Arabidopsis thaliana: one gene and its partner. The protein of the gene in region 1 interacts with the protein of each later gene in a pairwise test. Each region holds a gene or a part of one and is shown on either strand. Other genes may lie near its edges.

Region 1 (5,769 bases):
GCACTCGGAAGAGAGATACTCACAACTTCTTTGTTAATAAAAGAAAGTAAAGGAACAAGCTTTCTTGAAGTTGTGTTACGACATTCGATTTCGTAATACTTCTCGAGACAGCAATCTTTTCCGATTCCGAAAGGGTATGGGATAGAGATTCCTCCACATTCCCTTTGACAAGCATCTGCAGAATAAAAAATCAGCAAAAGTAACAGCATGAAGAGATTCAAGAAGAAAGAGCAATTTGTACTTTCGTTGCTCATGTTTCTCTACTAGAGCAAAGTTGATCTTCCTGAGTTAATTGTATTAACTATAAAGCAGATGGCCTTTGTAAGTGGAGACAGAGGATAAGATTCCTTGTGCTAATGGTCTTCATCTTTGGATATTTTATTGATACCTCTCTTTGTGTTTCTTGATCAGATCAATTATATGGCGGAAAGCTTCTCTTTTACTGGTTTAAATATTGTTGAAAGTCTGTAAAGTGGAGATCATCAATTCTTTTTGGAAAGACATTGTTGGTAATTGATTACAGAAGAAAGATAAAAAAACTACTCTGGCAAAAATGCAGTTTCTTGCAAAAGTCATATTCATATCATCATGAAATCGTATAATACAAAAAAATAAAAAATAAAAACTTGAAAAGCAGAGTTGGGTATAAAAACACCGTCCATAACTAACTTTATTCATTTCTGAATAAAATAAACTAACACGAGAAAAACACGAGGAAACTTTAGGCTCCTAGAATTAAAATCGAAAATGATCCAAATTCAAGAGTGACTACGTTAGCAAAAACAGATTATCTGAACGAGTACCGGTCGCAGCAGTCGCAGCTTCCTCTGTTTATTTCTAGAGTGGGGCTATTTCCACGTTCACTACTCGACAGCTGCTATTAACCACTATGCTGGTTTCAATCAATGGCAGAGAGTCTGTGATCGGTGAGGCACAAAGGTGAACGTTAGGAATAATAAACACACAACAAACGTTCTTAAGCGGGAAACACAGACTAACAACTACTCAAATTTATTACAGAAAACATTTCTAACGAGATACATCAAATTCATTCATCATCATTACTTTAAGATCTGATTGAGTGTCACCATGTGAGAAGAGGATTCAATGGTTCAACATCTGAAGATGGAGGTGAAGCCACAATACTTGAGGCTGGAGCAGTAACACCAATGCTCCAAGAATCTCCTCTGTGTACTATTGTCACAACTTCTTCTTCTTCTTCTACTCCATCTTCTTCTTCTTCTTCGTCAATCCGGTTCTGCACCTGTGAATCTTCCGGAGACGTACAAATCCTTTCCAACTCTGTAAAAACTTCTCTCATATTCGGACGATTCCTTCCTCTAGAACTCAAACACTTCATTGCCAGATTTGCTACTGCCATCACTTGTTCCGGTTTGCTATCATCTCTTATTCTAGCATCCATGATGTCAGAAAGTCTTCTCTCTTTCATGGCAACTCTGAAATGCTCTGCCAAGGCTATTATTTCTTGAGTGTTTTGTACCATTATGACAGGCTTATCTCCAGTGATAAGTTCCGCTAGAATGACTCCAAAGCTATAAACATCACTCTTTTCAGTATATTGGCTGGACCGGTAATACTCTGGATCCACATACCCAACCGTACCTGAAATAACCGTTGTCCAATGAGTTTGATCTATGGTTACTGACCTTGATGTTCCAAAATCAGCCACCTTGGCTCGGTACTTTTCGTCTAGTAATATATTTGTTGACTTGATGTCTCTATGATAAATTGGAGAAGATGCAGCAGAATGAAGATAAGAAAGAGCTCCTGCAATATCCACAGCAATGCGTAGACGCATTCCCCATATCATAGTGTAATCATCAGCTTCTTCTTCGTGGATATGCTTAAAGAGGTTTCCGTTGATGATAAACTCGTAAACCAGAATAGGAACTTCTGTCTCAAGACAACATCCCAAGAGTTTGACTACATGTCTATGGTTTATCTGGGAGAGAATCACGACCTCATTGATGAACTCTTGAAGTTTGTCTTCATCTATAACTTTTGATTTCTTGACTGCAACGGTTCTACCATCTACAAGCATACCTTTGTACACAGTACCTTGACCACCATGTCCAAGAACTCTGTTTTCGCTGAAGTTTTCAGTGGCTTTCTCTAGCTCTTTCGAGGTGAAGATTCTTGCTTTTTCGACAACGCCTTGTCTTGTATTCAATTCTTGTTGCAACAGTAGTCCTCCATTACGTTTGAAGAACTTCTTCTTCCTCTTTGCCATCCTTCTCTTCACTAGAAACTTTCTCAACCACCATACTCCACCAACTAGGACTAAGACCCCAAAACCAGTACCCGCCCCTGCCAAACCGCACAAGAATATTATAGGTTGATCATCACTTGCTTTTTAAAAGCTCTAAATTTGTGGAACAAAAATCAGTGACCTACCTATCATTATTGCTTTAGTCTTATCGCCCACACAGCGATAGCCTCCCTCGAAATTCACACAAGTGTCTGTTTCTTTACAATATTTGGGATTCTCTTTACATTCATCAATATCTATAATTGAAAGATGAAAATACGATAGTCAAACGATGAAAGAAACTTCTCTAGAAAGGATGCTTGCTTCCACACACAAAAAAAGAGGAGGGCATAAGGAAAGAACATAATACTGACCTCTACATCCGTCCGAATCATATGGGTTACCTTTGTAACCTAGGTTGCATTCACAATTGGCATACCTAATATCAGAAATGATGCTCATGGTGTAGTCGCATATACACTTTATACTCTGGTCATTAGAGTAAGCAGTGTCCGTGTCTTTTCTGATTTTGCAGGCCAAGGAGTTGACGAAGGAAGTATTCCTCGTCTGCATTATCCATCCTAGACTTAATGTAGCATATCTCTTAGCATGTAACTGTTCTGGTTTGGTCAGCTTCGACAAACTGAAGAATTCATCAGTTAAGAAGGCGACTCTACAGTCTCCACTTGTTGTTGACTTTCCATCATTGCTCTCTATTCTGATACCAATAACTTGTTGAGGCTCTCTAGGTAGACTCGCTTGACAACATCCCCTACCATCGCATCCCATATCTTCCGGTTTGTTTCCTGTACAAACCTGGGCGAAAGTATAAGAAAAAGAGCACCCCGTTTTGTCGAAGAAAGGGATGCTGTTGCTATCCGACGCGTTAGTCGTACTGCAGTTCAACTCACATCCCACCATGTTTTGCTTTATATGCTCCAACGACACCTTGCTGCTGCAACCAACTCCCACAAGGTTGTTTATGTCACTAACGAAAAAAGGACTATCCGTCAAGTTCATTACTGGTGCGGAGTCTTTTCCATCACTAGAACATCCTGCGGATGTTATCGGACTTCTGACACGAACTGACCCAAAGGATTGCCTACCAGGAAGATGGATACTAACAACTTCTTTGCTAATTACAGAAAGAAAGGGGACAAGCTTTCCTGAAGTATTAAGACATTCGATTTCGTATGACTTCTCGAGATAGCAGCCCTTACCGATTCCAAAAGGGTATGGGATCGCAATTCCTCCACATTTGCATCCTCCACATTCACTTCGACATGAGCTTGAAGCTGTGAGATCTGCAGAATAAAGGATCAGAAGAAGTAACAGCTTGAAGAGAATCAAGTGAGAGTTATTTGTATTTTTGTAGCTCATGGTTCTCTGCCCAAGCAAATTTGAACTTCCTGAGTTTTGTTCTTTACTATAAAGCAGATCAAGTTTTGTTCCTTTGTAAGTGGAGACAGAGGAAAAGAGTTGCTCGTGCTAATAATGCTCTTCATCTTTGAATATTTTAATTGCTACCTCTCTTTGTGTTTCTTGATGAGATCAACTTTATGGCGGAAAGCATCTTTTTTACCAGTTTAAAATATATTTCAAAGTCTTTAAAGTGTAGATCATCACGTGTTTTGCAAACAATTTTGGTAATTAATTTACTAAAGATAATTTTAAAAATCTACTATCGCAAAAGTCATATTCATATCATGAACTAGTAAAATACAACAAAAAAAAAAACAATGAAAAAGCAGAGTTAGGTATAAAAAAACGCTATCCAATAAATTGAATATTGAAGAAGATTAATAAGAAAGGTGTAGGCTCGTAGTGCTAAAATCGAAAAGGGAATGATCCATCATCCAAGAGTGAATACATTTAACAGAAACAGAGACAATCTGTAATGGTAAAAGATAATTAGAATTCAAACCCCCAAAACGTATAACAATCGTCGTTTACGACAGTAGAATCGCATATTTACCCACCAAAACCCTATTGTCTTGTTGTATAGAAACAAACCAGAATCAAAACTGTAAGCACCTTCATATATTAGCAATCCATAGCATAAGATTACCTGAATGAGTACTCGCATCCACAAACACACATGCACACACAAAATCTCTTCTCTGTAGCACCAACACGACTAAGCCTTCTTCTTAGCTCACTGGATCTTCCTCAGCTCGGTGTCCCGGTCTCAGTAATTGCAGCTTCCTCTTTTATTTCTGGAGTGGGGCTACTTCCACGTTCACTACTCGAGCTGCTGCTATTAACCACTTCGCTGGTCTCAATCAGTGGCAGAGAGTCTGTGATTGGTGAAGCGGAAATAGCAGGAAGAAGTACATTCTCCTCTGAATGCTTCGGTTTGTTCAGAGCATTACAGTGAGGGCAATAGTATGTAATGTAAGCAAAATCCTCTTTCCGAGCAAGTCCTGCATTTACAAAGCATATTGCAAAATTATGTTAGAAATAAGTATATAGTTGAAAGATTCAGGTAAAGGATTTGCTTAAACATTCATTCACCATTGTGCATACGACAGTTTCCACAAATGAGCGCATATGATTGTGTGGGATCTTCGCCCACAAGTAGAGCCGCAATGCGTGAGATCCAACTGCCATCATGAGCAGCATATCCCTGAGGGCTGTAATGCTCAACCAACATCTGCTGGTTTTGCTCTGTGGTGCCTGGAAATCTCTCGCTTGTTCCAGAATGGTGAGACTCATCATCAGAATGATGTGTTGAAGTGCTCCCAGAACCGTGGGGTCTTGTATTTGGTTGCCTTCGATTCCTCAACCCACGTGATTGGTTAACCTCCATGTCATTGCTCTTGCCCGAGGATGGATCGAGTTGGGATTCATCTCCTAAATATACTTTCAAGCCTGAATCGGCACCCAATTTGGATGCCAGGACAGTTGCGGCAGCTGCCTTTGCAGCTGGGTCCGGGTCATATCTCTGCATCAAAACAATTCTGTTAGCACCAGCTCTACATGCAGTAGTTAACCTCTTCAAGTCGGCAAACATTGATCTCTCTTTCGTTGCATGGCTATGCCACGCCTACGAGACATACTTAAGAAAACCACTTTATGTATTTCTATTGCTATATACAGGCATAGATGCATGTCTCTGTTGGCATTAAATACAATGAATTCCAACTGCCATGTCAGACTAAGATTCCAACTTTCTATTCATAATTGCTATTATCCCAAAATATGGACAACAATCTTCGAAAACATAGTCACTCACTATCCAGTAACTATAAATGATAACCGTTGGAAGAATCAGTACTTGTCATAAACGGAATTACCACAAATTCTCTGTGTTCTCAAGACTAGTAATCTCACCTGAATAAGTTGTTGTGTGGTATAATAATTGGTCCTTTCTTTAAGTTCATTGATTTTCGCCAACCTTTCAGCTCGAAGCTTTTCCAAGGTCTTTTGATCTCTGCGGTCAACTATACAACCATTTTTACACAGAATTAGAAACAGAGAAGCTACGAGAACACACCAAC
Region 2 (4,083 bases), on another chromosome or scaffold:
ATTGGGCTAATGGACATGGACACCCCGATTTGACAACTCTATCTTATATGATCCGCCTATCTGTTATTATCTAATAAACGTATGTTGGAAATGACCAGACCAATTCTACCAAATAATCTTTCCAATAAGGGTTCACTTGTAGAAATTGCCTTTTTATTGACTTAAATGAACAATTTCTGTTTTGTTTTGTTTTTGTCAAGGATCATAGCAAGTCTAAAGGCTTATCTTGTCATGTCTTCCCATTCATCTGGTTTCGATACCATTTGAAGTAAATTATTGACTACTAAAGTTTTGGCCTTCTAGGAACTTATAAATTTTGTCATAGGAGGCTCAATGATTAAACAAATAAAATCATGTCACATAAAATACTTCTTATCATATTGCATAATCGTATAAATTTCCAGAGTAACACATTAATTTGTCACCACAATGTTAATCAAGTAATAACACAATACATCTTCACAACACAAATTATTTGCTCCTGCTTCACTTCGATACATATAACATATGACTCCTCTAGCTTCAACTGTTGATCAGTGTCCCTTAGTAATCGAGCTCAGTAACAATTGGGAAATGAAAGATTGGTTCTGATCAAATGGTAACAACATCCTCCCAAAAGGTAACCGGAAGCTCTTGGTAGACAGGAATTGCCGCAACGTATTGGAACTGTACCATAAAAAGCAACATTTAAGTATAAATGATACTACTAATTAAATCAAATGATTTCATAATTTGTAATATGTCAATTACCTTATGTTGCTTGTATTTCTCTCTAACAGCTTTTGAAGCACCTTCACTTCTGCTCAGGTACAAGTCAAGCATGATCTCCACACACACTTGTAGATCAGCCGCTTTGTACTTTGTGCATTCTTCCAACATTTGACTCTGTTTTACATTACAAGCCATAGATTATTAGTGTCTCATTCAAAAGATTAACTCAACATATAAACCTGAAAAAGAGAGATTGAGACAAAAGTTCTTACCCAAGGATGTTGGTTAGGAAGGATGATGAATCGAGCGAGAAAGACAGCAGAAGCAGCCAACAAAGATGGAACAAACTTCACACAACTATAATCTAACATACTTAGTTCTGACAGATAGCAACAAAGAGGCTCTAGCTGCAAGTTTGGCACTTTGAAATCTTCTTGTGCAACCCTTATGAACCGTCTGCACAAACACAACAAAAGATGAGAACAAAGAACCATAAGATACAACCAAAAGTCAGTATTATTCATCACAATTCTAACCTTAGAAAAGTATTTGTCGTAGGCCTTCCTAGTTCAAACTCAAGCGCGAGAAGTATATCCTCTTCCATCTTCAACACATCTTGTTTCGTATAAGTATTAGCCGTAATGTAACAAAAATCCTCCACTTTAGGGCGACGTTTCTCTTCATACTTCCTATTTATATCAAATGCCAAAAAAGAGAAGCCACTCCATATGTAAGTTTCAACATGACAATGAATAGCAAAGAGAGTAATACAAGAGGATCAAAAACACTTACGAAGCGATAAACATTGCAGAAACTCCCACAAGCTGAAGCCAGTGCTCGTTAACCATCTTTAATGACAAGAATCTATCAATGTAAGAGACAGTGAGATAGAGTGTTTCAGACACGAGTTCGAACTCTTCAGCAACTTCCACTAACCAATCTACCAAAACACCTCTCTTGCTTGGTGTTATATCTTCTTGAATCTTTTCAATGTAATCATGTAAAGGTCTTAGCTTTGGCTTCACCTGAATATTCACCAAACCAAAAACACAAATCTTCAGAACATATCCACAAATTCTAAGTCCAAACAGAGAACAATCATAGAAACTCTTCAGATAAAGTATACTAAATTGACCTATTGAAACTTGTCAATGTTCTAAGTCCAAAAACAGAGCAAGTAGGAGATCTTATTACGTACCTCTAATTCACGGAGATACTCGTAGATATCTGAGACATAAAGTCCACACATCTGTGGATCATCAGACCTAGCGTCAATGTCAGAGCCTGATTGAATGTTCTCTTGAAACGCAAGTAGCTTATGTCGAATTTCCGCCCACTCTACCGGGGAAGCATCTTGAGGGTTATGGTCGGAATGAATCTGTTTATCTTTCTTAGACACCATATTTATCGAAAAACAAGAACACATCTTCGAAAGAACAACAATAAATCTTACACTAAGTCCTATATATAGAGTAGAAGACTCTATCCTAAAACAACCAGGTTTCAGAATTCAGATGAGAGATGAGACAGACTAAAAAAAAAAGGAAAATTAAACCAAAGCCCAAAACAATAACTTGTTGAACACGAAATCCCAAGTAATTAAAAAAAGGAAATTAAAAAAAAAATCGTTCCAAAACGTGTTAATTTAGAGAAATTACCTTTTTTTACTTGATTAAAAATCTCAAAAAGTAATTACATATAATTATCTTTTTTTAATCTAAAACTTGTAATTTTACTTTGGAGAAAATTGTAAAGTAGAACCCTAATTATAATTTCGATTTGATTTGCTTATTCCGCTGAGTTAGGCCTAAACGAGAACGCTACAACTTGTGAAGTTTTTGATTTTGCAACCAACACTTGGAGGTACGTTGTCCTGCATCCCCTTATCTGGTTTCTCACACCCAAGATCCTGTGTATGTTGATGGCTCACTTCACTGGTTCACACGAGGGTGAAAGTTGAAACCATGGTTTTGTCTTTGGATCTTCACACCGAAACTTTTCAAGTCATCGCTAAAGCTCCCTTGTTTCTTGTTTCTCAAGTTTAATCTCTCTTTAGTAAACTTGATTATCAATCTCATAGACAATCTTTTCTTTTCTTTTGTTTCTTGAGATTTTCATTAGTTTCTTTAAATTAACAACAATGTCTTCTAGAGTTTTAGCCCTCTAGGAATTTTCATTAAGTATAAACATACAGTAGTAGGCTCAATGCTTAAACAAAATAAGATCATGTCACATAAATACTTATATCATATTGCATAATTGTATAAAATTATATTATTCCGAATTTCACACTAAAATTTTGTAAATAAAAAAGAAGAGATTTCAATAATACATCACACATCTTCACATAACGCAGACTTATTTGCTCCTGCCTTCACTTCTATATTTCTTACTCTTCTAGCTTCACTTGAAGATCTGTGTCCATTATACTATTTGAAACAAGATTCGGTAATCCAGCTCCGTAACATTTGCTTAAGATAGCATAACCTCAGATCAAATGGTAACATCCTCCCAAAAGGTAACCGGCAGCTCTGGTGAAACAGGCATGGTCGCAACGCATTGGAACTGTACCGAGAAGAAGCAACATTAAGTATCAAGAAAGCTCTGCTTATTCAAATGATTTTATCAATGTGTAATGTTTAAGTACCTTATGGTGCTTATATTTCTCTCTAACAGCTTGTAAAGCACCTCCTCTTCTGCTCAAATACAAGTCATGTATGATTCCAACACACACTTGTAGATCAGCCGCTTTGTACTTTGTGTACTCTTCTAACATTTGGTTCTGTTTACATATTCACAACCATAAATCATTAGTGTCTCATTCTAAACAATGACCACAGCAGACTAAAACCTGAAAGAGACTGAGACAAATATGCTTACCCAAGGATGTTGTTTCGGACGGATGATGAACCGAGCGAGAAAAACAGCAGAAGCAGCCAACAGAGACGGCACAAACTTCACAGTCTTATAATCTAATATACTCAATTCTGACAAATAGCAACAAAGAGGCTCTAGCTGCAAATGTGGAACTTTGAAATCGTCTTGTGCAACTCTAGTAAACCGTCTACACAAACACCAACACACAAAATCAGAACAATGAAACTAAGACAAACCAATAAGTAATCATCACCAATACACACAAATCTAACCTCATAAAAGTATTAATCGTTGGTCTTCCCAACTCAAACTGAAGAGCAAGAAGTATATCAGCTTCCATCTTCACAACATCTTGTTTCGAAAACGTATTATCCGTAATGTAACAAAAATCATCCACTTTAGGAGGACTTATCTCTTCATACTTCCTACAACATTTCAATACTTCCATTAGCTTCCATACATAAACAATGACAACAAACACAAGAGAGGAAGAAT

The links. The genes of interacting proteins can lie anywhere in the genome.
Region 2: the proteins of AT4G31100 (region 1) and CYCA3;3 interact in a protein complementation assay, tested with the Arabidopsis thaliana proteins (one large-scale study listed by BioGRID).

Annotation. Positions count from the first base shown.
Region 1 is NC_003075.7:15,121,742-15,127,510, reverse strand, and holds AT4G31100 (wall-associated kinase), read right to left. Parts: upstream 3,749-5,769; 5' UTR 3,650-3,748; coding exon 2,644-3,649; intron 2,527-2,643; coding exon 2,416-2,526; intron 2,329-2,415; coding exon 1,085-2,328; 3' UTR 627-1,084; downstream 1-626. Other genes in the region: AT4G31110 (Wall-associated kinase family protein), read right to left, coding at 1-254; AT4G31080 (integral membrane metal-binding family protein (DUF2296)), read right to left, coding at 4,439-4,692, 4,784-5,315, 5,603-5,712. UniProt on the Arabidopsis thaliana protein: Serine/threonine-protein kinase that may function as a signaling receptor of extracellular matrix component.
Region 2 is NC_003070.9:17,301,706-17,305,788, reverse strand, and holds CYCA3;3 (Cyclin A3;3), read right to left. Parts: upstream 2,114-4,083; coding exon 1,910-2,113; intron 1,737-1,909; coding exon 1,504-1,736; intron 1,401-1,503; coding exon 1,248-1,400; intron 1,168-1,247; coding exon 984-1,167; intron 886-983; coding exon 751-885; intron 667-750; coding exon 592-666; downstream 1-591. Other genes in the region: CYCA3;2 (cyclin-dependent protein kinase 3;2), read right to left, coding at 3,205-3,276, 3,359-3,493, 3,592-3,775, 3,861-4,013.